4 linked regions of the Arabidopsis thaliana genome follow. The protein of the gene in region 4 interacts with the protein of the main gene of each other region in a pairwise test. Each region holds a gene or a part of one and is shown on either strand. Other genes may lie near its edges. The genes, in order: CRK28, ZW9, AT3G48510 and NAC3.

Region 1 (8,593 bases), on a different chromosome or scaffold from region 4:
GTCTTTTGTGGAGAGACTAAAGGTTTGTGATTGATTCCGTCTCTTAAAGATTCGCCTCTTCTGATTGTATTTGCAGCCATGGAAGATTCATAAAGAAAGAAGTATAAGAAGAGAGAAAGATAAAGTGAGGTTTTGCGGAAGAATCTCATTTTCTTGGGGTTTAGTGTTGGAGAAGAAGACACAAGTGAGGATCTTCGTAATAAAGGATTGGTTTTTGAGGTTTGCTTAAAGATGAAAGAAGAGAAACAGAGGAACTGTGTCTGTCACAATGGCGGAAACTTCCTATTGATAAAAAAGTAAGAGGAGAGGTGACAAAGGAGAAGGGATACAAAAAGGAAAGGTTGCTGTTTTATTGCTGTTGAGAAGTTTCTATATTTTTGTCTCGTCAGGTTGGAAAGTTGGACCAGAGAATTGAAATAAAAAGGTCAAACTGTTTGAATTATTATCATCTTTATAAGGTATTATTATTATTGTCTTTTAATTCTTTTTTGTCATCTACTTTTTTTGTTCTTTTTCAAGATTATACAACCTGCATAGAAATATGTGATTGGTGGCTGACCTAATTGTTTTGAAACTTTTTCTTACATCTCTAAGAGGATTTTGGACGGTGTCAGTTGACACATGATGGATTAGATACTTTAGCGGTTCAATTTTTATTAAGAAAGAAAGTTAGGTTTTCAAGTTACATGATTTAGTAAAAATTATATTACAATTATATAGTTTCCATTGATTAGAAACGTATATTAATACAATGACTTAGGACGATCCAACCATTCATATCTTGTATGGACTACTTCTGACGTCCTTAGTTCATAGTCAATGTTTAAGAGTGATGAGGATTTATCAAATGGTTGATGATAATAAGAACAATGAGAAGGTAATAGTATATTCCTATTGTATAAGGCCATCGAAGAAAATGTATAAGCTATAGGTGTGGTTACCAAATTTGAAAATAAATAAGTATGTCAGGCAATTAGTGGAGCAGTTGGCTTTGTATACTAGTTTAGTGGAATATTTGCTTAGTTATATAATACTTAGATTAGATATGCTTGTTGCCTTTGGCCGCCACATTGACTCATATGGTCAAAGTATCGCACACTTGATTTGGATGGGTCTTCTCTTTATTTTATTGCACGTGACATATTTTACGTATCTTGATATTTCAAATTGTATTCCTTCAAAGTTTAAATGTTGTTTGCTCGCCTAAAATCCCATAATAACCCTACAATTATTTAGTAATCTTTTTTTTGCATGACGCTTAAGTATTTATATCTAATATCGATGCAGCCAAACCTCAAGTGGATTGCACTAGCAAGTGGCACTAAAGCATATATTGATACTCATACAATGCCAGATCGATTCTGGAGTTTACATTATTGATTCATTTGGTGGATTAGTTGATTACAAGTGAAAATTTACAAATGTATTAGTTTAACTGAGAGAATGTGGCTACTAGGCAACAAAACCTAATAAAGAAACAAACACCCATCTCCATCTAAAAATGCTCCAAGGGTCCACAATGCTTAGTCATGAATTCTATAGCTACATTATTAGGAGTTAAGATAAAGAAAACTGTATTTAACATTGATTTGTTGCTTTTGAAAAGACCAATGTGTATGCATTTCATGTGTAGGATAAAGTAGAAAGCTTTTCTTAGTAAAAGTCTAATACTATTTTCATTTTCTTAAGTTAAATTTCATGTTATATGTTTTAAAACACAGTAAAATCGAATTTGCAAAACAAATCTACCATTAACGACGAATGTGTAGAACTAAAAGAAAAAGCTATAACTTCTACTCGTTTCAAAAGCTAGATGAAGCCAAGCTGTCTAAAAAATCACACAAACAAAATCCATCATTGAAGAAACTAAAAAGATATGCAGATTAAGCTTCCTAACGAGGAGATAACTCAGAAACAGTGACATCATTCAAGGACATTAATAACGGTTCTGTGGAAGAAGAAACATTCATCGAAGGCATGACACTCTCTAACGCAAAGGCGGGCCTTGAAGGCGTTGGGAGAGTATAGGAATAGCTATTGAGCATTAGAGCAACCGAATCCATAGTTGGTCTACTCGCTGGACTTTCTTGAACACATAAAAGACCAATGTGTATGCATCTCAAGATCTCGCTTCTTGATCCCGTGGTTAGACTCGGATCAATAACGCTTAGTATAATGTCTTCTCTCCAACATCTCCACACCTGAGAAACAAACAGAATTACAAATTCAGTTAACATGATGAATCAAACTCAAACCTCAATTACCTGGTTGGTTTTGTGTACTTACCCAACTAAGGAGATTTTCTGCCTCTTCGTCATCATTTGATCGACCATTATTGTTTCCCTTACCCGTAATGATCTCTATGACTAATACACCGAAGCTGAAAACGTCTGTTTTCACCGAGAATTGACCGTAAATAGCGTATTCTGGAGCCATATACCCGCTACAAGATGAATAACGGGTTTATACCGGTGTTTCTTGGTTAATGAGTTAGTAAGATGAAGTAACTTACTAAGTTCCTGCAATTTTGCTTGTAAATCGATGTGTCGAAGTTTGGTCTGTGTCATAGAGTTTAGCTAATCCAAAATCTGCGATTTTCGGATTCATTTCTTGGTCCAAAAGAATGTTGCTAGCTTTAAGATCACGGTGAATTATCCGGTAACGAGAGTCTTCATGAAGATAAAGAAGTCCTCTAGCAACTCCACCTATCATTTTGTATCGCACTCCCCAATCCAAAAGTTGACGCTTTTTAAGATCTGTAACAGCGTAAAGATCAACACAGAGCAGAAAAAACAGAACGGTAGGATCATCATATGGAGAAAACGGCGGAAAACAATTACCGAAGATGAAATTGTCAAGACTAGCGTTCTTGATGAACTCATAGACAAGGATTCGTTCTTGTCCTTCTATGCAAAAACCTAATAGCCTAACCAAGTTCCTATGTTGAAGCTTTGCAAGAAGTAAAATTTCGTTCTTGAATTCACTGTCTCCTTGTCCTGAAGTACACGATAATCTTTTCACCGCGATTTCTTGCCCACCCGAGAACACACCCTAAGAAATGCATCATCCTTAGCTTATAAATCTAACCAAGGGAAACCAAAGTTACCGTTAAGAAGTTTTCTCAAAGAAACATACCTTATAAACTGAGCCAAACCCACCACGTCCAAGTTCATTTTCTGGTGAAAAGTTATCTGTTGCTGCCTTTAGAGTTTCAAAGTCAACTACCAACGAATCTGAGAACTCATCCTCTGCATTTGATCCTGACAATGAACATAGTTCTCAGGATAAATAGTTTATACTTTGTAACAAGATAACGATAACCAAAAGAAGAAGGTTGTGTTTGTTACCTTTGACTCTACCTACAGACTTGTTCTTCTTCCACTTCAAGAGCAAGCATAGGCAAATTGCAAATAACGCAACAAAAACTATTGGGATGACTATCGCAACAATGACTTTAGATCCACCTTTGCCCTTTCCTGAAATGAAACATTCAATCTTAGAGACAACTGCTGCAACAGTACAAATTCAAATATTTCTATGCACCTGTTCTCTCAGTTCTTGCAGCTGATGTTGGGGAGTCAGCAGGCTGAATAGCAGGTGGATCAGGCTCTAGATCGGCATCGAACTCGTAGAATCGCCAGGTCTCAAATCTGTAGCTACAACTAGGAAAAAACCACCTAAGACCAACCTGACCAGCACAACAACCTGGGATCTTTTCAAAACCAAAGACTAGACAGTCATTACAATCCTGTTCAGACAAATCCGGCGTACAGTGTGCACTTCCGTAGAATTGCGGGTACCCTGCCACACCCGAACCGCTCCCTTGAGCGTATTTTCTATTTGGCCCACCAGCTGCAGCAATCCCTTTGAGTCTGTCCAATAGTTCTATCTGCAGACGATCAAACTCATCTCTGTTTGCTGATATATTTTTACCGGCTTGAAAAGACAGAGTTGGGGTCGTCTCTTTTCTTCCATAGATTATCATGTTCGAGTAACGAAACATACAGTGTGTGTACCACACAACAGCTTGATTTGTCAGTGGACACTGCTCGATGAGGTTTCTTGCAGCTATCTGAATGCAGCTGAGACAATCATCTCTTTTTACTTCTCTTCTACAAAGACCAATTGCATAAGCTCTTTCTCCAGATGAATCTCCAGAAGAGAGGTTGTAGAAGCCATAAGGTTTGGATGTGAGTGACGAGAGAGAGGAGACAAGGCCGTTGAGATTACCAGCGAAAGAGCTGTTGGCCGTGAAATTGCCTCCACTAGCTACACAGTTGAAACCTGGAGGAAACTCATATTTATCCTTCTGTGCTAAGCAGATAAATGGTACAATCTTTAGGACACAAGCAAAGAAGAAAAAGATAACTCTGACATGTTCCATGGACGCTTGAAGCTTTTTTCTTCTTCTGTAATCTATATGAGAAAACCCCAGAATGTAATAACGAGTCTAAAAATGGAAGAAGTCAATCTAACTTGACCTTGGAATTATTCAAAAGCAGTATGGTCTTTGAACTAAATCAATATCCAACAGCAGAAAGAACAAAACTTGTTGATCAATAACAATTATAAAACCCAGTAGCAAACACAAGTGGAGTCTTTATGAGGTTGTGGGGGTCCATGATGGTAGTAGATTCAAAGACTCACAATATGAAACTAACGACTTGGTGTGAAAACGTTATTTAAATTAGAAGTGTTCATTGCTCACTTCTTTCCCCACAAGTACCAGGAAAGAAAACTAAAGAGTTTGAATACTTTTCAAACCTACTAGAAAATATAAGACTAACTAGGAACCATCTAATTTCGTCTAAGCCATTTATTTTACAATTTCTTTTACTTCTGTAGATGATTAGTGGATCATCTTTCAACTCTCATATTTATATATGTGGACTCAATATAAATCTCTTATCCAATTTTCTAAACTTACTGACATATATATATACTTCTATCAAATTGTACCTTAAAACGAAATCAAGTAACGATAAACTGGAAGAAAAAAAATGAGACAAAGGAAAAAGTATCTCACAGCTTCACATTCATGTTTTATTCACAACAAGATCAAGCCAGGCTGCCTGAAAAATCACACAAACAAAACCCATTTCAAAGGTTTTCAGAGAAGAATCAAAACATTTACAGATTAACGAGGAGAAAACTCAGAAACAGTAACATCATTTGACGACATTTGTAACCCTTCCGTTGAAGAAGAAACATTTGAAGGTATGACGACACTCTCCAACACAAACGCAGGCCTCAAAGGCGTCGGGAGGGTAAAAGAATAGCTATTGAGCATGAGAGAAACCGTAGCCATTGTTGGTCTAGTCGCTGCACTTTCTTGCACACATAAAAGACCAATGTGTATGCATCTCAAGATCTCATTTCTTGATCCTGCGGTTAAACTCGGATCGATCACGCTTAGTATAGTGTCTTCTCTCCAGCTTCTCCACACCTGAAAAGAAAAACAGAATCACAAATTTTATCAACAAGATGACCAAAACTGAAACCCCATTTACTAGCTTGGTTTTGGATACTGTACTTACCCAACTAAGAAGATCTTCTGCATCTTCGTCACCATTCGATCCACCATTGTTGTTTCTTTTACCTGTAATGATCTCAATGACTAATACACCGAAGCTGAAAACATCTGTTTTCACAGAGAATTGTCCATGCATTGCGTATTCCGGAGCCATATATCCGCTTAAAATTGAAATGATAACTGGTTTATACTGGTGTTTCCTGGATTTATAAGTTAGTTAAATGAATTTACTTACTAAGTTCCTGCAATCCTGCTTGTGAATCGATGTGTCATGGTTTGGCCTGAGTCAAAGAGTTTAGCTAATCCAAAATCTGCGATTTTCGGATTCATTTCTTGGTCCAAAAGAATGTTGCTAGCTTTAAGATCACGATGAATTATCCGGAAACGAGAGTCTTCATGAAGATAAAGGAGTCCTCTAGCAATTCCTCCGATCATTTTGTACCGCACTACCCAATCCAAAAGTTGACGCTTCTCAGTATCTGCAACGGCGCAATGGTCAATGCAGAGCGGAAGAAGAATGGTAGGATCAGATCGAGTAAAAGCCGGAAAAAGATTTACCGAAGATAAATTGGTCAAGACTAGCGTTCTTGATGAACTCATAGACAAGGAGTCTTTCTTCTCCTTGTATGCAGAAACCTATAAGCCTGACCAAGTTCCTATGTTGAAGCTTTGCAAGTAGTAATATTTCGTTCTTGAACTCGTTGTCTCCTTGTCCAGAATTACCCGATAATCTCTTCACCGCGATTTCTTGCCCCTGAGGGAACACACCCTGAGATACATAATCCCAAGTTTATAAATCTCTCAAATAAATAAACCAAAGTTACCGGTAAGAAGTTTGTTCGAAGAAGCTTACCTTATAAACTGAACCAAACCCACCACGTCCAAGTTCGTTTTCTGAAGAAAAGTTATCTGTTGCTGTCTTTAGAGTCTCAAAATGAACTAAGAGTGATTCTGTGTTCGAGAACTCATCCTCGGCAATTGAACCCGACAAAGGTGATTTCCCAAGAACTGAATACGCAGATAGTATTTATCAGAACTAATAGTTAATCCATTAGTAACAAGATAACGATAACACGAAGAAGAACACTGTGTTACCTTTGTTTTTATATCCAGACTTGTTCTTCCTCCACTTCAAGACCAAGCATAGGCAAATTGCGAGTAACGCAACAAGAAGTATCGGGATGACTATCGCGATAATGACTTTAGATCCACCTTTGCCCTTTCCTGCAATAAAACATTCACTATCTTAATCTTAGAAACAAAAACATATTCTGCTAGGGACAACATCTGCAGTAGCACACACGAGAGAAACATTCAAACATTTCTATGTACCTGTCCTCTCAGTTCTTGCAGCTGATTGTGGTGAATCAGCAGGCTGAATTGCAGGTGGATCTGGCTCTAGGTCGGCATCAAACTCGTAGAATCTCCACGTCTCAAACCGGAAGTTACAACTAGGAGAAAACCACCGAAGACCAATCTCAGCATCACAACAACTCGGAATATTCTCAAACCCAAAAACTAAACAATCATTACAATCCTGTTCAGACAAATCTGGCGTACATTGCACAGTTCCATAGAATCTCCGGTACCCAGCCGAAGCTGAACCGTTTCCTTGAGCGTATTTCCTATTAGGCCCACCAGCAGCCGCAATTCCTTTGAGTCTGTCCAATAGTCCTCTCTGCAGACGCTCAAAGTCATCTCTGTTTGCTGATATCTCTTCACCAGCAATAAAAGCCTTAGTCGGGTTCGTTTCTTTTCTTCCGTAGATTGTCCTGTTTGAGTAACGAAACATACAGTGCGTGTACCATACAACAGCTTGTTTTGTCAGCGGACACTGCTTGGTGAGGTTTCTTGCAGCTGTCTGAATACAGCTGACACAATCATCTCTTTTGACTTCTCTTCTACACAGACCAATTGCATAAGCTCTTTCTCCAGATGAGTCTCCAGAAGAGAGGTTGTAGAAGCCATAAGCTTGGGATTTGAGTGAGGAGAGGGAGGAGACAAGGCGGTTGAGATTCCCGGCAAAAGTGCTGTTCGCCGTGAAGTTGCCACGATCAACACAGTTGAAATCTGGATCAAACTCATAGGAATCTACCTGAGCAAAGGCATGAAATGGAGCAAGCGTTAGGAAACAAGCAAAGAAGAAGATAACTCTGACATGTTCCATGAAAGCTTGAAGCTTTTTTTCTCTAATCTATGAGAAACCCACCAGTGTGTAATGAGTCTTTATATGGTAAATGTCGACCTAATTTGACCTTAAAAAAAAGCCGTGTGTTCTTTAAACTAGCTCACAGCCGAAAGAACACAAGTTGCTGATCAAAAACAATTATAAATTTCAGTAACAGACAGACACAAGTGGACAGCCATTGTAAGCTTGTTGGGTCCTGCATGATGATATATAAAAATTTCAATATAAAAATTTAGGAGTTGGTGCAACGAATCAGGTCAACGGTGTGTGAAATAAGAAGTTATAAGTTACAAGAAAACATTTAAAATAAGTTTATATTTCTCACTTCTTTTCTCTCCAGGACCAATAAGAACTCAAAGTCTGAAACTTTAACCAACTAGAAACTAAAACTAATCTTCCATTAATGGGAAATAAACTACTTAAGGACATCCTAGAGACTCCTTTTTTTTTTCACATCCCTCCTGCTGTATTTGAATTTATACTTATGAGGTGCGGATTGTGGAAGATCTTTATGTCTTGGATCTTACTCGCTGAATGAGACCTCAAATCTGAATGCTTTGTTAATGCATCAAAGAAATGCAATTGGAACTTTACTAGCTACCTCTTCAATCGAGAAACCTGCAATTTGCAAACCAGAAACCAAGAAAAAATGTTATTTTTTTCAGCACAGAAAACATAACTCCTGCATGTACTATAATGAAGAAAATTCATACTTTTTCACAATCCTTTGCTTGGAAATAACAGCAAAGTAATGAAGTTCCCGTGATGAGTCAATTCGACGCCTTTGCTTATCGCCGTGGTTCCAGAGGTGCGTAACAGAGCAGCTGGTTTGGATAGCTCCATCAATCCCGGACATTGATAGGCCAAGAGCT
Region 2 (8,311 bases), on a different chromosome or scaffold from region 4:
CCCCGCCACTAAATAAAAGCTATTGTTGATTCCAGCAATGTTAACCTCCAGCTTGGTAAGGCTGGCAAGGAGGACCAGCTCCAAGGCGTAGTTATAAGTCTAGCTCGACATGTGGTTGTAAATGTTGAGTAAAACGTTTTAAGATTTGGGAGAACCTTAAAACAAAATGACTATGAACGAGATATCTCACCACACGAGAACGTCTTCCTCTATGACGCCGTTCTCTACCATGTCCCTCCATCACCATCAGCTTGAATAGGCACACGATCTAGACCCCAACAAGCATGAGGCTACATGTTCAGATGTTCTTGGTCAATCATAATAAAAACTGACAATATGATAATAAAACACTAACTATCACTTTGTGAGATGAAAACGGTATGACCTTGAGGGAATGATTGGTTAAAACACAAGTGTTGTAACATCTATAGAAAATGTAGCAAAACATCACGTCCTCGTCATAGCAAGCTATTAGGGTCGGGTTTTGTCAGCAAGTTTGATATAAAGGTGATTGCATATGACCCTGCTCATTACGAACGTAAAGGTGAATGCATATGACCCTGAAAAATTCGTGGAGCTTGATTATGCCAACAATAGTTCATGGGGAAGAGACTTCTCTCGGCTGCCATATCGCAAAAGGAGGAGCCGGTAGTAAATTGAAACAAGAGGCTCCGGTTTTGAAATTTACGAGAGAGTCTCTTACAAATAACACAAAGCTTACACCTCATATGGCCTCATGATTGTGCATAATTGATCGCAATTATCACAAAGAAGAATCTTCTTGGGCTCTATAAATGACATTGTTTGAAGCTATCCATGATTCACTCTCCAATGCAAACATCCATCTCTCGCAATCATTGTTTAATTAATACGAAGTGACAAAAAGGAAAGTAGCAACATACGGGAAGCAGAATGACTTAAGTTGCAACATAAGAGACGAGAAATTAATCACAATTAATTTATTATGTTGTTCTATACCACATCAAGGATCATAATTTTCATTTCTGCACTTTATAATTTTTAATCAATATTTTAAAACGAATTGCTCGGAAAATCGCTGATTAAAAATTTTGATATCTAATTGTTACGACTAGTTGCTATATAGGTAGCTGGATATGAGGCAACAAAGCTCATATGGTATGGTTTGGTTTGGTTGTTGTCATTAACTAGTGGTCGTAGAGTCTCTATCTTCACTAGAGAAGAACAAACAAATAGATCAAAATTCAAAAAATCAAAAAGTAATTATAGAAAATTCAAATGAAAAAGGAGTGAGAAAAAAGGTTAAAATCTTTCAAATTCTTAAGTTACACTAAATTAAAAAGATGTAAAAAGAAATTTATAGTAAATAGAATAACCATTGCATTTATTTTTTGGTGCATTGATATAGTTAATATTGCATTTATTATGCAGTTTGTTATATATATATATATATTTTTTTTTGTTTAAATGCATATTTGTTACGATACTTATACATACCTCTGTCTTGGAGTTAGCTTTTTTGTTATCATGTTCTTGGGTGTGTTTATCAGTTCAGTCGGAGTGGATTGATCAGAAGAATTGTTGAGGGTTTGTTCCCATGTTCGTTATTAGGATGCGTTTATGAGATGGTATTAGGTGAAGAGGTATCTACTAGCCTTCCTCTGTGCATGTTTTGGAGTAGGGCCGGATTGGTCTCAATACGATGCATTAGGATTGATATTCAGTTCTTATCTTAAGAAAGATGGTCAACCTTTTGTTTATAGATGGATGAAGCTAGGTTTTCGAACGGCTCCATTTTCTAGATGTTAGTCTTACTAGAGTATCACCTTGTCGGAGTTTCAGGTTTTTTCCTCTTGCCTTGGTCAGTTAAATAGTGTGGCACTTTGATATTTGTTTTGGAGCTCGGGTTTGGGCATTCTGTGGATCAGCCGATCCTTGGATTTTGTTTGGATGTTGGTTCTCAAGGCTGTGGATCAAAGATTTTTAGAAGAAGAGGTGAATTTTAGATTTCCAAACTTGGTTTAAATATTATATTTGGTTGAAATATTGGTTATAAATCTCGAAAATAAGATTTTAAATCCTTTCATCAAAAAGAATATTATTTTCATAATTCTGTCGGACAACAGTGATGGAAAGAATAAGAATTTTTATTATTATTAACAAGATGATGACGTGGTAACAATGTCATCAAAACCGTGACATCCACGTCACCAACGTTATCAAGGACATGACATTCATGTCATCAATGATGTATGATTTTGCATGATTGGATAAATTCATGTATTGGAACTTAAATTATTTAAAACGTTAGATATATATTAGTAAAGAGAAAACTGTTAGGTATAAATTGAACACTGATACTTTGTTTGGATATGAAAAAATTGACTTTCCTCTTTGTGCAGCTCCGGCGTCTACTACTTTGATGGGAAGGTATGTGGGAGTTTTCTTGGATTGAATTGTGGGGGCTTTTGTAAAAATAGGAACATTTTGGCCCAATAATTAGAAAAAAGGAACATTTAGAATGGGCTTATAGGTTTGGGCATATGTTTGCAACAAATATGACGCTTTTGCCCTTCGTCTTCAACACCATCGTCTTCAACACCATTGTCCAGACATCGATTTTGACGATTCATAGTGTTATTAACAACACCATCGTCTTCAACAAAATTTTCCAGCCAACATGTCTATTCTGATTAACCCAATCAATCAAAATAAATGATTTTTGATTGAAGAAATCTAAACCCTAAAGGGATACTATCTAGGGAACCCTTGGGTTCTAATCTTAAACACTCCAATTCATTATTAATTCTAAACCAAATTTGATTTTTATTGTCAATAGAGTTCATCATCATCGTCACCAACTAATAACAGAGGATTTGGAAAAGTAATTCTAGAGATCCAAACTATCACCTTCGCTTCTCACTATCGCTCAACTCACCATCGTCGTTGAAACTCACCATCGTCGCCAACGCTAATTGGAGGTCGAGATCTTGCCGTCTTTTTCATCACGAGACATGATTCATGAGTCACCGCCGTTGCTTCTTACCGTTGTCAAAATCGTTGTTGTTGCAGGAGCTCAATCACCATTGTAGGTTCAGTGGTAAGGGTAAACTCGTAAAATACTTGCATAGAAAAATACTTAAATCTATAAGGCATATGAGATATGTCTGTTTTCATAAAGATATAAACTTAATTGTGTCAATCCCATAATTAATCCCTAAATTGTGAGTTGCAGTTTTAGAGTTTATGAGTCTTTTTTAAAAAAATTATTATGTTCCATTTTAATATATTTTAGTACCAGGTTTACTTCCCCTTTTTTTTGGGTTTTAACTTCTTTCTTGTTTGAGTTTTGCTTTAGAGATTTTAGTTTTTGTAAAGCAAAAATTTGCTCCTGATGAATCATGCCTAATGCTACCTGTTCTTATTGTCGATTTGGTAGTCTTTCATTGCAGCAAATATTCTTTCAATCACTTCTTTCAAAAAATCTACATATACATTTTTGCAGCCATTTTAACAAATAAATCCTGAATTTGGACTTATTTACAACTCAATGCCATTAGCATTAAATCTTTTCTCCAAAATAATTAATTTTACTTGATTTAAATTGTCAACCACATTATCAATCAAATTTAACCCTTAAAATTAGCATAAACATATTTGTTAACAATATTTTAAAACAAAGTTTTTTGTTAAAACAAATATTATTCTTACTAAACATTTTTTGTTTAAATAAATAAATCATGTATTTGAACTTATTTACAATCTCATGACACTGACATTAATTATTTAGGAATGAAAATATTTAATTAAAGATTTAAATCTTCTAAATCCTTGCTTTTAGAGTTATTATGTCATTACCTTAAAGGCTCAAAATATAAAATAAATAAATATAATTATTTAAATATTTTAAATTTATAAAACATTATTAATATTTAAAATTATAAAAAGTTTAATATATCATAATTTTTTAACATCATTATATAATATATAAAGTTTAAAAAAATCTCTATTCTTTCCGCCATAATTTGTGATTCGAAATTTTAAAAATAAACATATATTAACCAATTGGCGAAAAATGTTTGAGTTCAACGTCCCACATCGACTAAAATATTTAGACAATAATTCATAAACATATCATAAATAAGATTAACATTAATAAAATAATGGTTTTTTTACGGGACGGGTTTGGCGTGACGGGTTTGGCAGAACGTTACTTAATAACAATTGTAAATTATAAAATAAAAATATTTTATAGATAGATACAATTTGCAAAATTTTATATATATTAACTTTAAAATATAAATTGTCCCCGCGGTGTACCGCGGGTTAAAATCTAGTATTGAAATATTTTGGTTTCAATTATTTATTTATCGGGAATTGATTTTGAATTGGTAGTGTGAATTATTGGTGTCACTGTTATACCGCGCTGGCAATTAAATCGATAGGGTCATATAGATGTCATTAGGTAATCGCAAGAGTAATATATTTTATGGATATGGTAAGGGTTGATGCTTTGTCATGGTTTTTATTATTATTATTATATATAAATGTAAATATTAATGAAATAGTGTGTATATATATATATAATAGTTTTGGAATTACATGATGTATAATGTATATAGGGGTTGAGAGACCTATGACCGGTCAAAATTTGGGGGCCAAAGTAACAAATTATATATTTGGGGTTATTATAAACTGTTTTGAAATTTGGATATATTTTTCTTAGAACTAAATATATTTGGAAGCCTATTTATAAATCAGGTTTGCTGTAAAAAAAAGTTTTTAAAAATGGAGACAACATACAAATGTTTCATGTTGCTTCTTTCAGAGCCGGCCCGGGAGAAGCGTTGCCAAAAAAGAATAAAGACAAAGGTAACAAATAAACAAAGAAGACACAACAGTGAATTCATCTAATCCAAAGTTGTATGTGGTTTCCGAAATGCTTCCTTTGTCTTGTTCCGAATCTCTCTGTCGATGAACTTGAAAATGGTGTTTCACGTTCATTCAATAAAAAATAACAACCATAGTGTACACAGAGACTGATAGTGAAATAAAGGAAAAAAAAACTATAATCTGTTAAATTCAGATAATATCTATTATTTTTTTGTTTTGTTGAAAAATCAAATCTCTAGTAACATTAATGAGTATGAATCGTGTCTGGTAGTTGGTACGAATCGAGATCTCATCAATGGGTTTTTTAAGCTGCTTTGAGACGTGCGTAACACGAAGTTGTCCACTATGACTTGCTCTTGTACTTATAAGTTAAAATAATGATGCAGCAGAAAACAATTACTATTTTGTGAGACACGTATATCCCAACAAAACAATATGTCGTAGAACGTGCTAATTAATTAGTGAATACCTACGTGTCACGATCTCATGAGATTGGTGTATTACTGAGAACTAACGATCTCATGAGATTGGTGTATTACTGAGAACTAATCACTAATAAACGTGAATCTCGTGACACATATTATCATTATGCCTATATATACGTACATAAAACAAGACATTATTACAAACACAAAATATAGAAAAAGAAATAATGTATTCAGAGGAAAAGAAAAGCAGAAATTATGGTTCAATCTTTGTCTACTGCTTCTTCTGTTTCGTACTCATTGTGGAGGTTGCAAGATTCGCAAAACCTTATATCAACCTTCAAAACCTAATTGAGACGGAAGCAGTAGTAGAAGAAGGTTTCATGGCGGTGGGGAACTCAGGGAATCTTCCGTGTGGCTCGTCAAAACCTAGCTCTGCCTCTGTTCGTGCTCATGATGAACAGAAGCTCTCGCAAGCAGTAACAACAGATACGAGAACTCGTCCTCCAAATTCGTACTGCGTGAAGTTCCAGTCTTTTGTCACTATGGCAAAGCAGGTCAAAGAAAACGGTGGCAAGTATGAGTCACGTCCTTTCTCCGTCGGTGGATACAATTGGTACGTACGCGTTGACTTCCATTTCAAAAATGTTGAGAAACCATACCTTATACATAGAAGATATACATTTTTTTTTGTCAAAGGGTATTCATTTATATACTAGTGTTTTGATCATCTCCACTTTCTATGTGAAAGATTTTAACTTATTGCTCTGAATCTCACCCAAATTTTAATTTGTATATAATTTGACATATTTCTACTTAAAATGTTATAAGGACGCTCCTAATCTACCCAGTCATATACATTCCAACGGACTCGGGTGGGTACGTTTCGATTTACGTAAGAGTCGATAACTCAAGCCTCATCACCAATCCAAAAGATGTGTATGCAGAGATCACATTCCTCGCTTATAAAAGCAGTACAGACAAGTACCAAATAAGCCAGGGTACTAATTAACTAATCTAGAGCAAGTAAATATATATGTTTAAATCTTTTGTGGTTTGTTCAGACTAGTTATTTAAGTTTGATCCGTTTGCAGAGACTGAGGCCCAGCGATTTCATTTGTTTAAACAACAGTGGGGACTTTTACAATTTCTACCAATTTACTATTTTGAAAATCCGGCATATGGATACTTTTTCGAGGGCGAAAGCGTTGTGTTTGGCGTTGACATCAACATTGTTAAACCCTTTGAAAATTGGGAAGTGTTCTCTAATGAACAAAACATTCGTGACCCTATTTTCGAATGGAGACTCACCAAATTCTCTACACGTTTTCTTGACTCTTACACTTCTGATTCCTTTTCTTCCGGAGGAAGAAACTGGTACGTGTGACTTTCTTCCTCTTGTATATATATAACAATACGTACAAGATGTGTTAGTTTAATAATATGATGGTTTTTTACATTGAAGGGCATTGAAAGTGTATCCAAATGGAGTTGGAAATGCTACGGGTAATTCGTTGTCACTCTATTTGTTGAGTGATCAGTCAAATGATAAGGGTTATGTGGAAGCTAAGTTACGAGTTATTGACCAGATCCAATCCAACAATTTCGAGAAAAAAGGTTTGATATCTACTTTGTCAACTACTACTACTAATTTAAAGCTAATTAATTATAATTAATGAGCCTTTAAAAAATAAAAATAACTTTTGATTTCTTCCTATATACACAGTGGCGGCATGGCCCAATGCAACGGAGAATGGATGGGGTTTCGACAGGTTTCTATCATTTGCAGATATCAAAAACACATCAAAAGGTTTCCTAGTCAACGATACTCTCAAACTTGAAGTCCAGATCTTGTCCTTCTCGAAAACCGACTACTACTCTCATCAATCGTCTCTTAATGTTTTAACGGGAGATAGTACTTAGGTGACTAATCGTCGCTAGTGTAATTTTACAACTGGCTACTATCACTTTGCTTCATTGTGTTTTTTGTTTCTGTTCAATAATAATGAGTTCGAGCTTTCCTATGTCAAACTTGATCAATCTGATTTCACATATTGAATACCAAATTGGATAGGATGAAAGAGGCAGTCCCTAGGATGTTTTTTTTTTTTTTTGGATTTAAAGATTGGGTACGTAATCCATTCACATTTCCTTTTATAATTGTCCACTTCTTAATCGTTTAGTCGATCGTCTACGGCTTCAATAATTGTAGTTTTGTCCTTAGTAATTGATTATTCTTTTCACTTCGTTTTTCGTCCACTAATACAATTACTACAATGTTGTTCTTCTCCATAAACATTATCTACATCGATTCCTCTCTATTGCTTGTAGTTGTACAGTTGTCTACTGCGCTTAAACTTTTTGTTCACTTTTCATTTATGTTCCCGTCCTCGGCTTCAACTACTGTACTTTTGAAGATTTGTTAGATATACTAGGAACATGAACTGCTACTAAAAACTTGTCCACGGTTCCATCTTCGTGGACATCTGTATTTTGTTTACTTCGTTTCTCGTCGACTGCTACAACTACAGTATTGTTGTCCATCATCCCTTCTCCGATACATTATCTACATCCATCTTTCTTCGTTTCTCGTCGACTCCTACATGTTTGGGTGACAAATCATCAAGTGATAAATTATTATTGTATTAAAAGCAACCATTTTTATTGTATAACAACCATCATAACTTTCTTTCTGTCCACATTTAATGTGCCACGCCACACCATCATCTTATCTAGACGTCAACTGCTTTTGGCAGAGGTGTCAGCCTCATTGGGCGAAATGTTTTGTTTCCCTCCATAACCAATTAAAGGTAGTTTAGACATCTTCTCCTTTGTCAAAAGCTGACTCATTGCACAATTTTAAAGATATAAAAAATAGCATTGCCGACAAAATATTTATACAAATATGGCACAATTGGCAAAATTCCCTTAAAAAACATAAATAGTACTTAACAAGATTATATCACTTGATGATTTGTCACCCAAACATTTTCTAAAAATTCTTGATCTGAATT
Region 3 (7,237 bases), about 13 Mb from region 4:
AGAAGGGTCTACCTTGGCGAGTCAAGAAGAAGAAACAGAGTCAGAGGAAGAAGAAGAGGATGACGATGATTTTGACGATTTTGACTATAGCATTCTGAGTGATGAGAGCAGTATCGGTTACTCGGAACAGCAACCTCTTGTTAACGGTACTCAAGTCTTGACAGACTGATGTTTAAAAGGAAAGTAAAAATAAGAAATTGTCGAGGTTGATTTATTTGAATTTTTGTCTGTTAGGTTTGATCTATTTGATAGTTTTTTTTTTTCATTTCTTCTTATCCCGGAGATAGTAAAATCAGTTTCTTATTAACTTAGCCAGACGTTTGGGATCTTGTAGTACACCGTTGAACGTTAGGAACGTGACGTTTTTTGTTTTTTCTATCAATCGTCGTCAGAGAAGGTAGTCTTGACACCGCAAAATACGCCTAAATGTTTCTCTTGTTTCTTCTGTTTGGGCTCCAAAACATCAACTTCTATCAAAAGGCTTTCTCGTTCGTACCTGGAATATCAAAAACCCTTGTCATCTCTCCGTGTATACCAAAAACTTCACACCATGTGTGCTCTTTGATGACAAAACTCTTAAGGCAAACTCTTACCAAAGCTACTCTGCAAGGTTGTACCTAATTCACAAAAATAATAGCATTAAACTTGTACAATGACATCAAAACTCTAAAGCAATAAGTTAGAGAACCAAATCTCCATAACATGGAAAATCAGTTTACTTGGGTCGGAGAGGGTATGGAGCTATCTCAGCTACGGAGAAGATGAAAACAGAGACGGTTTATTAGCCTGGAAGAGTTCGTTGAGAGCAGCAAAAGAAGTTATAAATATAAACCTTGAAGAGGAAGAGAGCGAGAGAAAAGAGGTGCTCCGAGTTGTATATGCTCGTTAAGGGTTTTCGCTCTTCTTTGTGGGCCTTAAAAGGCTAATAAGCTTCGGCCCAATTTTATTATTCTGTTTAAATCGTCCGTTGACTTGTTTTATTTTATACAACCAAAAACAATCTTCATACATATTGTTTACGGTTTAAGGATGGTGTTTGCAACGTCTCAGTACTCCGCTTCTGATCAGTTAGGTCATTAACAATAGTAACGGAAGATTAAGTAATACTAAAAGATTCTAACAAACAATTTACAAAAGAAAAGTCTCCTTAAAATTCTTAACTAAATTATTATACAATTTATGTCCAATGTAGGTAGACTTGTATTGCTATTTAAAACTCTTAATTTATTTATGTTTTGATTAATTTGATTATATATAACGAAAAATAAATTCAAAAAGATTCTAAAAAACAATTTATAAAAGAAAAGTCCCCGGCTAAACACTATTCATTTGACCCTTAAAAACTCGATTATAGTATCATACAATGTCTTTGATTTTAGTCTTGTAGCGCTATTTCTTATCCGGAGATGGTAAAATCAGTTTCTCATTAACTTAACGATTTGGAATTTGGTACACACCGTTGATTTGAATGTTTTGAATCTGACGTCTTCTTCTTTTTTTGTCAAAAAATGGAACTGATGTTTAAGTTCCAAAAACACAGCTACACATAGTTAAACATTGGTCCATGTGGCATTTCTATTATGGCATAGATGATATATAGATGTCCCACGTATCATTAGATATCGCACTTTTACCGCAGGTAGACTGTAGTACATTCAAAGCTGTAGTACAACATTTATTCCTCACCCTCCTTTTTTGTTTTCTTTTGCTCCGACGTATCACGTTTATTGGGTCGTTTACTTTCTTATATTCCTTGTTTCCTCAAAACGTGAGTGCCGACAAAAGAAAAGAAAATATCAAAATCAAAATGTGATGAGTTCGACTGAAATATCTCTTCAAGTGAGTAACTAGCTCAAAGTAAGACCGGTTCGCTCACACTTTTTTGTAGCAATCAAGATGGTATGTTTCACATTTTTTGGACCATTTTGGAATTTGCATGTTTGGACGATCACTCGGACCGTAATTTCCAACCGTCCTTGCCGTGAAATCTCACAACATGCGTCCAATATAGGTGGGAACCGCACCGACGATACGCATTAAATACTTACAAAATTTTCCTTCATTAATTATTTTTAAGCAACAAGCTTGAAATTTAGCATCACAAATGCGTCAAGAACAAACAAAAGAAAGATGCATTTTTTACAAAAATTCTTAAATAAAAAACTATTTAAAAAACAACCAAAAACAAAGAAGGCATAAGAACAAAAACGACATAAATATATGTTAAACCATTAGAAATCTAATTAGTTCTGAATCCATATTTTATCATTGGAGGACATATCATGTGTAATGTTCGTGCCCATAGTGACTAAAGTTGATCTAACGGTGTCAAAGGCACAAAGCGGCCTTAACGTCGAGCCTCCAAGCAAAACCACCACCGACGTCCATTCTCCACACGTCGCAAGGCACCGTGACTGAGCCTCTCTCACGATTTTGACACGTGTACTGGAGTTTCATTCTGCATGTGAATCCAGGGGACGTTAGCATCGGCCTCTCCCTCATCACCAACCGTACGATCACGTGAAAACTATCGCCGCTAGTTATCTCCGGTGCACCTTCTTCCACGGGAATAATATCCCTAGCCATCTTCCGATACGCGTCATTAGTCCACGTGACTCTCCCTGAACCGTCGGATATGAAACCAGGACACGTGTCTCTCACAAGATTCATCTTCCTTTCTTCATCTGACCTCCCTAAACCGTAACCGTCAATCCAAGCGTCCGTTACACGCTCCACCGTCATACACGACGAAATCACCACCGTCCTCTGCACAATCTCCGGTGTCTGATAAGCCGGTGTGAGCATCCCTCCGCCGTCTTTGAAACTCAACCATAACGGACCCTGCCGCTTCTGCTTCTCCACCGCCGCCTTAAGATCTATAGGTTTCTCCGGTAATAGAGAAAGAGTCACCGCATTAGCACTGCCGTGAACGACGGGTTTATCCGACGTCTTCCGCCGGGTGCACCTCTTGGCGTTACCACCATTCTCCTTCAGCTGATGACATTTCCTCTTTCTTCTACTAGCTGATCTAAAGGAAACGTCGGAGCTTCCGCCGCCGCTATCTCCGCTGGATACGGGATTTACTCCGCCGGGGCTGGCCGGTTTAGGAGCAATGGGACGAAATCGAAGCATGATGCGATCTGCTTTGGAAAGATCGTACGGTCCAGAGCCAATGGCGTACCTAGCTATGCAACACCCTCCCCTACCGTCCATTTTTTCTCGCTATCTATATCACTCTTGATATTTTTGTGTAAAGAATGTTTGAGAATTAGGTAAAAGCTTTACTTGAGCTGAGGAATACACTGAACAGAAATGGTAAGGGTTTTATAACGTCTGTGATCTGGACACGTGTTGGAGTCTATACTAGTTGTGACATGGACACGTGTCTTTGCCTGCACGCTTGTGGTTGTGTTGGGTCTAGAAGACAGTAGTAAAGGGTTTGGGTTGCACATGGAAAGTTATTCTCTCTTTTTGTTTTTTTGCCTAAGTTATTCTCCCAACTCTAACCATTAATTTTACCGTTCAGTAAAAAGAACTGTAACTTTATATATTAGTGTAGGAGAAAAAAAAGTTTGGTCTATGCTATGACAGGAGTGATAGTTCTTGTTGCAAGAAGAAAACATAGTTCTTGTTGAAGATTATGTATTTTGGGTCGAGTTTTTTTTTTGGTTAACTTCACATAAATCTATGCATATAATCTTTTTGATTATTTTTACCACTAACCCTCAACTCATTGCTTCGTTTTGGGGCAACGTCAAAAAAATGTTAGGCAAAAAGATAAAAAGGTATAATTTGGTTAAAATTAGTGACAACATCCCTATACAATTGTGAACGAACTAATAAGATTCTTGGACTTTCGTATATTTCCCAACCACACTCTTAAAACTAATCCATATACTATAAATTTAAGAATAACACAGTTTTTTTATTTAAGTTTTTTTTTTGTTATTTGCCAATCAAGTACTAATACAACCATATATAGAGTGGATCACTGGTCAGTAATTAGTTCCAAAATTTGCAAATTAATCTCCACTTACGAAGCGATTTACTGATGTAACAATAGTGAAGAGATGGCAAAATCAAGTTAAAATATCTGACAACAAAAATGGTTTTTATACGCACGAGTCACACGACTCAAAAGGTGATGAGTCGATCGATTATAATTATAATCATTGACCAAGTCTAAATTTAAAGCGAATGGCATCTTAATTAAATTTAAAGTGATTGTGACAAATTAGATCTGAAAGGGGACAAGATGATCTCATGCGTAAATGAACTTAAAGATTTGGTGACAAAAATAAAGATTAGTGCCAATGGAGTTAGGTAATCGTTATTGAAATATCAAGAAGGAATATTGATTAATCAAATATACTCCTATTGTACCTATCTATAGTAAATGATTATAACAAGTATAATCATCTATATCTGGTTTATAGGTGTTTCCTTAATTTAGCTATTAATATTAGAGGAATTCTTATGGACAAAACTTGGATACATTCATAATACATATATAAATTTTACTTGAGCTTCTGCTTCGAGATCTTCTTTTGAGGATAGACATATTCAAACAATAACGGATTTGACAAATAACAGTTATAGTTTGACCAGTAAATGAGTTTAATGGCTATTAGCGACTTGATATATATGTTTTACGAGTTCGAATCTAATTTTTGCAAATGGGAACAAAGAAAAAATTTAGGCCAGTGGACCTATGCCAAACAAAGAGTTTGATTGTGTAACTTTGTTTTCTCAAGAGATGGTAATTAGTTTCAATCTTCTATATGCGTCAGATACATATTACTGTCCAAACCATTTTAAATTTCTGATGAGCTAAAAACATTCTCAAAAAGACATTATTCAATCTGTTTGAAGTCTATTTTTTTGGGTAGAATAATAAACATCTCATAAGAGTTCAAACCAAAATCTTAGTCTCCAAAGATTTTTTGTTATCCGTCGGCTTAGTTTCTAGGATTATCTTGTTAATCGCCAGCTTTAGCTTTGTAAAACTCTATCTATAATCTATCTTTCAGTGAAAAAAACGAAAAAAAGGAGTTCAAACCAAAATCATATGCACCAACAGTTTAGTCTAAAATAATTTGGATGTTAAGTAATATTTAGATAATACGATTGACTGTATTATAGAATAACGGAATTGTATTAAATAAATTTTATGTAGAATGAAAAATAAAAAATCATTAAAAAAAATTAATTTCTATATGTCATAAAAAAGGTTCATTTAATCCCTTGGTTTATGAATGATAAAATGAGTGAATATAAACCAGTCAGAATTTATAGTTTTGGTTCGTAATATTTGTTGTCGTTTCATAACTTAGGTTCAAATCTGAGAGTGAGTTAATAAACAAAATTCCCAAATCTTAAACTTAGACTAGAGTTCTAACCAAACAAATCTTGTAAAAAACTATTTAATCTTAGATTTGGGATAGTAGTGTTCGAAGGTGCGAGGGAATCTAGAAAGTATTACGAGTGGTCCGTGTTGTGAACTTTGCATGAGAACACGCAAAAGGACACGTTAAGACAATTCATTAGCTTATGTTTATAATAATCTTTTTTTTTTTTTTTGCTAAGAATATGTTTATAATAATCATCACATAAACTATTAGTAGTTAACTTTATTTGTTTATTTAATCAAATGAAATTAACCAAAACCAGTTATACTAAGCATAAAGTACTCATCACTTTTTTATATGTTTTAAGTACAGCACATTTATCGCTGGAAGTGTTTTCACTCTAGAACCACAATCTTTTTTTCGACTAAGACATCAGTAGTCAAATATTCAAATCTAATTTGGTATAAGTCATTATAATTATGATTATGTTAGCATGTTTTCTTATAAATATCAGGTTTTAGAGTTGGTAACTCCGTCCACACTTTGGTTTTCCAATTTTTCTTGAAGTTTTTGAAATCTTGTTAGTTTGTGAACTACAAAACTCGGAAAAACAAAATTAAATATCATTAGGTTTAATATGGTTAGCTAGAATGATCTTAATTGTTTTTTTCAGTGGAGTTTTGGAATCAACATTTGGAATTGTAGTTCAAAAAGATTTTAATATCTTTAAAAAATAAAATAATAATATCATTTCGTACGGTTTAATATGTGGAATTAACATTTCATTCAAATATGAGTCGTGGACCATATATATTTGCATTCACGATCAATAGTTGCATTGCTTCTGCTTTGAGATAAACAGCATGGACTGATCAAGATGACTTCTTATTGGAAATGGTATGTGTTTTCAACATCACTAGATTTGTTTTTGGGTATCCAATGTTTTCTTTTTTCCGTTTACAACTATTTTTTCAGTCTAGTTTAGCAAAAAAAACTATTTTTCAGTTTTCATGTTTATAATAATTTAATTAGTAAATTGTTTGGATCATATAGTGTTAGACTTAGAAGTTTAATTTTTTCTTTGTACGTCTTGATTTTTTGGACTGATTAGCCATTTCAAATATATAATATAATTACTATGTTTGGGAAGAAAAAGAAAAAAAGTGATTCATTGATTGGTGGGCAAGGCTTGGTAGTTACTTGTATAAAATATAGTAACAAAAATGTTCACCCTCTTTTAATATGCCGTCTGGAACACGTGGCACGTCTCATATAGGTTGCCACAATACCTAGTACCTACCTACGCAATTTGAATATTTGGTATGTTCATAAGATAAGTTTCACAAATCTTATCAGTTCAATTAATAAAATATGATTCGATTCTTATAATTAATATTGAGTTGATCTTCCGATGAAGACAGTTGTTCTGAGGGCCATCTAATATTATATTCGCACTTCAAGATTAACTTCAAGATAGTTCTAAAATGTAAGGAAGCAATGTTATCTTTTATATGCGAGGAGGAAAGTTTTGAAAACCAAATTATACGGATCAAAGTTCTTATAAAACAGTAATTAATTAAATCTAAATTACACCAACAAAAGCTAATTATAACTCATTTATCTTTCTTGTTTCAGGAAAACGTAAATAAACTCCTAAATACTGAATAATAAACAATATTATTTGAGTATCGATTAATTGTGTACTGTGTACATGAGCCTCGTCAATTGCAATGTTTATACCAACCAATTACCTTTAGTTTTATACAAGAACATTATTTTCATATTATCGTATCTCTGGACCGTGCCAACTGCCAAGTGACTTACTTGAACTTGAATATAAAGATACACGTAACTCTCACATGAAATTCAGGGAAAAGGTTAAAAAGTTG
Region 4 (7,578 bases):
GATATTTAAAGACTGATTGCTTAGTCTGAAATCACTCGTAGATATTATATTTACGGTTGCACTCGTTTGACATCAATTATAACCAGTTTACTAATAATGGATGAAGCTTTAAATTTTCTCCAATAAAAAAAACTTTCTCCATAGAACAATTGAGGTCGCGAAAAATGAAAAACTTTGTTCTTTTATAAAGCACTTTTGAATTTTATTTCGAAAATATATTTGGAGTCGAAATTTTTATAACAAAATATTATGCACTTATATACACAGTACCTGATAATCATCATCTCATTTTGTTCAGCCTTTTGAGTTTTTAGATTTATTTTTCATTAAAGTTGTAGTCAAGGAAAAAAAAAAGGTTATACTCAAGGATTTTTTTGTATCTATGTACGTTTATTTTTGTTTAAAATATAAGTTGTCAAAGAAAATAGTCTGATTTCTCAAGTCTCGGTCAGTACGAAAATAATCACGATCAAGATAATTTGCGTTCTTTAACAAAAATATAATTGGATACATATATAATTTGCGTTTCCAATACTCAGGCCCATTGTTAAAGAAATACATAGGCCTAACTGAATCCACTTTTTGCGTATGGCCCAACACATACTCAAGTCCTATATAAAACATTAATTACCATATGGACAAATTTTCATTTCTTTGAATAACACGTTAATTTAGATTTTGGTTTGGAATCTTCCAGTTATAAACTACCAAAAATCATAAATTATTGTATAAATCATTTGTTATTACGCGTAAGAACAAAATATAAACAAATGATTTATATTAATTTCATGTTTTGACTTTTTACAATAGATGCATGGCAAAAAATAAAGTACTAATATACATCACTAAACCCCATGCCATGCGTAATTGCGTACGCGCCTGTATTCGTTTACTGATTAATCACATATGGACGAATGAATGGTTATTTGTTTAGACTTTAGCGTACAATAACATCTTGATGAATATGGACCACAAGTATTTCTATGCAAAATGGTTACAAAGTATTAAACTCAAAACCTTCGTTTTCATGTATTTACGATAGAATATGCTATTCTAAGGGGTTGCGTAGAGCTTCGTCCAACAAAATTTACATGTAGAACATTAATATTTTCTTCTTTTTAAATTGAAATATTTTCACATCCAGCCACCTTAATTATCAAACTTTAAACGAAAATATATATTTAACAAACTCATTTCCATCTCTCGTTTTTCTGCGATTTTAAGATACAGAAAGAAAATTATAGTTTCGCAAGTTGTTTGAGTAGCCAAAAGTTTTTGTAAGAAGAAGACAGTGTTTTTATTTATTTTATTTTTGGATTATTTAAGAAGACAAAAGATTTCAATGTAAACAAAGAGAACAAAGAATTGGTTTGACAAAAGTAACTAACAATCGCCCAATGATTTCTCTTAATTCGATTATTAGGGTTTTAAGTGATTTAGAAAATAAATATAATAAGACGTAAGTTATAGCCAATTCTTTAAATTCCATAAACTCTTTAAATTTCAATGTAATGGATATTCATGTAGACTAGAAAGAAAAACTCCCTAGCTAATTTCGGTGTAAAAATTATTTTTCACAACATTTATCTAATTAGTTAATCAGATAAAATCTATTTAAATTTTGATTATGAAAATCTACTTATACGAACAAAAAGCGTAGATGTGTTTAAAACTTGTACGGTGTGAATTGTTACTATTTTAGGAAAGAAATGATTCTAAACTAGTCAAACAAGCAGCCCATGCTGACTCACACGTGCAATTTCAGGAAACCCCAAACGGTCCGTTCTCTGTTCTTATCTTCAAACCCCAATTGGTCTTTAAGATTTGGCCATCTAATACCATCACTATCCTTTTCCCATTAAACAATATAACATCTTTATCCATATCCTTTTAAATATATATATATCAATTTCTCTAACAAATTTTGAACGTTCTTTAAACAGCTGTACAATATTACTATTTCAAACCTTACGGCTTGCAAATGCCATTGCACATAAATGAATATATACACAACTATCGCGTGCGAAATTTCTTTATGCCACATGTGTTTATATAAATAGTATTTTTATATTTTACAAAAGTATACTAGTGCTATAGGCTAGAAATCATCTCAGATAAACATACATTTTTGGTCATGTTCGCTATGATATGGTTACCGTCATCAGCGAAAGATGATGACAAATCTATTGTTCGTTTTAGCTGGTACTAATATTAAACGATGAGCGATAGCGAGCAAAGTCATATTCGCTTTATGGTTCCTAGATTATCGATATATTATGGCGATTAATATAATAAATTATGAATCGCTGATTCGTTGTTAATGATAATACTACATGATGTTGACACAAAAATGTGTCATGAATGATAAGGAAACTTTCACATTTCTATCGTTTATCGTTAGCAATAGCAAGTACAAAACTTATAGATCCAATGCAATATCTGTTTTTCTAATAAATAATTGATCAATACAAAAGTTCCAGCTATAAAAGTTTACAAAAATGTAAATGTCAGGACAAATGACGACGAATATACAATACAAGTCGTAGAACCTAAATCTAACCCTAGAGTTCGAATTCTACGCTATATTAATTAACTAATCTGACACGGACAAAAAATAAAAATATGTTTTTCTTATTACGTTACCATTACACAATCAAATAAACCCGAACCCACTAGATTGTTGACCCGAGTACCCAAATCCGTTAACCGGGTCAACACTAAAACCCTGATTAGCCGAGACGTCCGAGTTATTATTAAACCGAGGAATCCCCTCAGTTTGTTGCTGCGTTCCACCGTCACCGTAACGAATACTCGGAACGTTATGACTCAGTCCGAGTTCCGGGACCGAGTTCTGTCCAATCAAATTCGCCCAATCAAAACTTGGCTCCCTGGCTAAACCCTGAAACCCGGTTTTATGATTGGTTAAAACCGGTCTATGACTATGAGGCAGCGCGTTTGATGAACCGGCGGCAAACCCCAAACTTCTGTTGTCAATCTCATGCAACGACTCGAGAACGTCGTCGTATTGATGAGACGAAGAAGATGTCGACGAACCATTGTTGCTGTATTCACGACCACTCGTCATTAGATTATTGTAAGCTTGTTTTTGTGCGCTTGTTTGCTTTTTGTATATTCGACATAAAACCCAATCATCAAGCTGAACATAAAAACAGTTTAAAATATGTTATTCGTTGAACAGTATAATTACAATTACTATATACTTATCTTTTTGGATACATCATGTATTTAACTAAATTTATACCTTGGTGCTTCCATTTCGACGAGAGGGTTCGATGAGACGGTACTCATGCATAATCCAATTGGTTTTGGTTCCTTTTGGAGCTTTTCCAATGTAAAACACCAAAGCTTTCTTGATACCAACTCTTCTTCCCTCCGTCGAGATAACTTTATCCGTACCGGTGGCTTTCCAATAACCCGACCCGGCAACCCGATTAGGTCTTGACCCGTTTGGATACTTCCTATCCCTCGGGCTGAAAAAATACCATTCTTTTTCACCGAATAACGCCTTACCTACAAAGAACCAAAAAGACAAGTTAGAAGAGAAAAAAACATAACTAGCTACAAAGAAACCAAACACGGTTAAGGTTATTAGGTTATACGTACTTGGTAAAACCCATGGATCAAACTTGTAGAGATCGATTTCAGCTATGAGCTGGAGAGAGAAGTCGTGACCGGCGGCTTTTCTACAGAGATATTCAACCATCAGCTCTTCGTCAGTCGGATAAAACCGAAAACCCGGCGGTAAGCTCAATTGGGCTAACGGGTCAAGCTCTTGGAGACCCATTTTTCCTATCACCTCTTTCTCTAGGACAAAGAAAATATCTGCACTTTTTATAGAAAACAATCACAAAACTATCTTCTTTGATTTTCTTTTTTGTATTCTGAGATTAAAGATTTCGAAGCTCTGCTACTCGTGTATGTATATATATAATATAATATTACACCGCCGCCCAATCTTCGTTAACGTGCAGCCTCAATACGGGTCCCACTTTATGTTTATCATGACACGTGGATCAATTAGAGCGTCGTGATTTATGCGATCCCTTTGGTTCTTTGAACCTATACCATAAAGTTGATTATTTATATTAGTAATGTTGTAATATTGTGTGTGTGACTGTACCTCCTCTTATGATTTTTTTTTTGTATTGTCAATGGTCTTCCCAAGTATTAGGGAGTTAACTGAAAGTAATTTGCGAATATTTGTAAGTTCAGAAAAACAAATTAGGTGATTCTTAAGACTAGTGATTTTTCATGCAATTTACGCGGTAAATTTCTATGAATGAGTTACATAACAGTGACAATCTACGAAAAGTATTATGAAAAATAAGAAGTATTTTTTTTTTAATGGGTATGTGCCAAATTGTTTTTTTTTGGTCGTCAAGAAGAAAAAACACGTGTAAGTGAATGATGGGATGAGTTCACTGGATGGTAACATGGAAAGCGTTTTTCATACGGATAGAACTACCACAAGCCGACACATGTCTTGTGTCTATTGGTTGAGTTAGGCGGGATATTTTTCTTTCGTCAAAAGCCGTTAAAGATCAGAGAGAGGGACAAACAACAAACACGAGTTGATGATGCAGACTCTCGTTATTTTTCTATTTGATCCATATGAGACTGTAATTTTTGATTGAAATCAGATGAAACTGTAATTGTGAAACGATAGTATACAATCAGAGGTACCAAGAAATTAGGCTTTTGTGGTTGAGAAATGGGAACACAAGATTTTCGTAAGTCCGTATAACACAAACACGCTTCTCTTCAAACACTTTTTTGTGTACGTGAAAAAGGAACATTTTACCAATTGAAAATAAAGTTCAATTACAATTTTCTTGCAAGTAGATTTATATTTAACCAATTTATGGCGGTTTATTGATTAACATATTTATTTAAGCATTCGAGAACGTACGTGATTTCAATCATGATTAACATAGTTGAGCTTTGATTCATGGTTCTCGATTTTTTTTTAAAATAGGTAAAACAGGAATCTTAGTTAGAAGTCAGATCGTTTATCAGCAAATTTATCGTAGATATATCATATATGTATGTAAGTTTAGGCTTTTTTTTTTTTTTTCTTATTCATTGAATTTTTTGGCTTTCTACTGATAGTTTTTTCTCGGTAAAAAGTTAATTAGCAAACTAGTAGCCCAAAAAATGAAAAATAAAGTTAATTAGCTAACTTTAATTGATATCTTGTGATCACATGTACATGGTGCTGTAAAAATAATTCTAAGCGAATATAACAAGGAATTTGGGGTTTCTTACACTCAATATCTTTCGTGTCACGGTGCATTTGGTGTTAATTCGTTTCTATTTATAATGGTTCTCTTCCATTAAAGATACATCAATTGGTATAGAACGGGGTGATCAAAGTTTTTTTAAAAGCTTTTGTTCTTCTCCTTTTCGGGATTTTTTTGTTAATGTTGGAAGATAATATCCACACACAGGTCTTTAGTTTTAGATAACTAATTAACATTATGCTATTTTAGCGATGTCATGCATATATCATAACGTGTATGTCATGCATATATCATAATTACATAACGTGTAACCCCGTAAATTTGGGTCAAAATACAAAAGTGTATTAAGAATTGATGACGTGGATATCAAGGTGGTATAAGTTTCAACTTTTGACATGTGAGTTTAGTTAATGGTTTGCTGAATAAACCATATGGCTAAACCAATAAACTTCCAATAATAATATGAATATCACACTTATTACAACTTAACCTCAATCTTCCTATATAAAATCAAAGTGCGCCAATGAAATTCGAACTCGAATGCTTTACATTGTAATGGTATAATTATTTTTCTACCATATATAAAATTTGATAATCTGGAGCACCATGAGCTCCCTCCACAAGCATAATCCAGTAAATAGTACAATATCCCCAATTGCTAAAAGTGTTGATCCATCAATTAATTAATAGAATCAGTCTTGCTTTACATAAAGCTTTATAATTACTATGTCTAAGCATGTTAATTTTGATATTACGTGTAGTCTTACGTATGTTTAAGACATATTTTTTTTTTAAGTTCAACCATTTTGTAAAACTTTTGTCATACACATGTATAATACATTTGCTACATATGTGGATTTTTCTTATTCAGAATATATATATTATGACAATAAATTACAACTATTTAGTTGTTTGTTAAAATACTAGCTAGTTAAATGAAATAATGTTTCCCTTTTTTATTAAATTAATTTTTCTTTTTTTATCGTAATTTAATATAATGATTTCTTTTTATTTTTTTCGATTCTAGAAACATATTTAATCAAACACTATAATAAGAATATTTCTAAACATTAAGCTACTGATAACAAAGAAAGTTTCGATTTAATATATATATATATATATAGAAAAGGTATAAATTTCGATAAGATCATATATAGTATACTAAACTCTGAAAAGCTGATAAATATTCTCTCCAACTTGTGCATATTATACGTCTTTTCATATTCTTAAAATAGAATAGAAACGAAAAAGGGGGAATCAAACAATGAAGATGACCATCGTAGATCAAACCCCCACTTCATCCAACTATATCTTATCTTACAAGTTTGATTTAAGTAGTTTGTATAGTTTTCTTTGGTATAAGAAAATATATTTTTAGTTAGTTATTAACGAATAATTGTAGGATAAATCATATTTAATCACTATTCACTACTTATGGCCAATTATATTTTTTTATTTGTTATTGACCTTTTTGTTTTCCGTTCCTGATAAGAGTATATGGATCGGATGATGTTGTTGCCAACATTTTTAACTTTTTTTATAAACGCTAAACATGAACAAAGTCGTTTAGTAGGTCTGTTATTGATATTGGTCTGTTTAGTGTTTAGGTATCGATATATTTCTACAGCCGATAAAGTATGTAGGATTTTTTAAGCCCAACAAAGTTTCAGGCCCACTAATTTTTATTGTTTGAAATAGGTTCATTTAAGCTTGTACCAGATACGGAGTCCTAAATCTCTTGAATTCATGCAATTCTGAACCGAAAACTACCCAATAATCTTCTAGATGTAGTATCATATGAACTAATTCAGTTGAGTATGTGATGAAATGAGAGCAAAAACGATTATATCTCAATCTCAACAAATACTGCATAGCCCATTCATAGTGTTATGTAAATAACTAAGTCGTCGCATGGAATTTTGGAGACCCACTAAATTTAGCGAGAGTACCATTTCCAAGCATCGAATTGTTTTACACACGACGGTGTTTCACATGTACCATTTTCACATTAGATAATTTTACTTTTAGCACGACGAAACAATTTATATTCGCTGATAAATAAGTCTCAAATCTGGTGTGAAAATATGAAATTCTTTGGTAACTGTTTCTTGAATCAATTTTTCACCCATATTTTTTTTTTTTTTTATATAAAAAATTGAAATAATCTACGGGTAAGAATACAAACCCAAAAAGATAAATTCTGTTACAAAATATTCCTTTGATATCTTTCACTTATATTGAACTAAATATTTTTATGTTTATATTTAATACTATAGATCATGATTCATTAAAAAAAAAAAAACTAAATTAGGATATT

The links.
Region 1: the proteins of NAC3 (region 4) and CRK28 interact in a two-hybrid assay, tested with the Arabidopsis thaliana proteins (one large-scale study listed by BioGRID).
Region 2: the proteins of NAC3 (region 4) and ZW9 interact in a two-hybrid assay, tested with the Arabidopsis thaliana proteins (one large-scale study listed by BioGRID).
Region 3: the proteins of NAC3 (region 4) and AT3G48510 interact in a two-hybrid assay, tested with the Arabidopsis thaliana proteins (one large-scale study listed by BioGRID).

What each region holds. Positions count from the first base shown.
Region 1 is NC_003075.7:11,397,326-11,405,918, forward strand, and holds CRK28 (cysteine-rich RLK (RECEPTOR-like protein kinase) 28), read right to left. Parts: upstream 4,385-8,593; coding exon 3,544-4,384; intron 3,477-3,543; coding exon 3,300-3,476; intron 3,261-3,299; coding exon of another isoform or gene 3,249-3,260; coding exon 3,136-3,248; intron 3,052-3,135; coding exon 2,841-3,051; coding exon of another isoform or gene 2,757-2,840; coding exon 2,513-2,756; coding exon of another isoform or gene 2,512-2,512; exon of another isoform or gene 2,444-2,511; coding exon 2,287-2,443; intron 2,202-2,286; coding exon 1,893-2,201; downstream 1-1,892. Other genes in the region: B120 (S-locus lectin protein kinase family protein), read right to left, coding at 1-149; CRK29 (cysteine-rich RLK (RECEPTOR-like protein kinase) 29), read right to left, coding at 5,138-5,446, 5,538-5,694, 5,769-6,012, 6,092-6,302, 6,387-6,541, 6,629-6,757, 6,866-7,700.
Region 2 is NC_003070.9:21,611,303-21,619,613, reverse strand, and holds ZW9 (TRAF-like family protein), read left to right. Parts: upstream 1-5,444; 5' UTR 5,445-5,524; coding exon 5,525-5,913; intron 5,914-6,128; coding exon 6,129-6,298; intron 6,299-6,391; coding exon 6,392-6,674; intron 6,675-6,762; coding exon 6,763-6,914; intron 6,915-7,023; coding exon 7,024-7,220; 3' UTR 7,221-7,811; downstream 7,812-8,311. Other genes in the region: AT1G58265 (Cytochrome P450 superfamily protein), read right to left, coding at 8,226-8,311.
Region 3 is NC_003074.8:17,965,240-17,972,476, forward strand, and holds AT3G48510 (AtIII18x5-like protein), read right to left. Parts: upstream 3,352-7,237; 5' UTR 3,214-3,351; coding exon 2,329-3,213; 3' UTR 2,115-2,328; downstream 1-2,114. Other genes in the region: PDE312 (Nucleic acid-binding, OB-fold-like protein), read left to right, coding at 1-169.
Region 4 is NC_003074.8:5,230,958-5,238,535, reverse strand, and holds NAC3 (NAC domain containing protein 3), read right to left. Parts: upstream 4,080-7,578; 5' UTR 3,806-4,079; coding exon 3,625-3,805; intron 3,532-3,624; coding exon 3,263-3,531; intron 3,158-3,262; coding exon 2,654-3,157; 3' UTR 2,340-2,653; downstream 1-2,339. UniProt on the Arabidopsis thaliana protein: Transcription factors that bind specifically to the 5'-CATGTG-3' motif.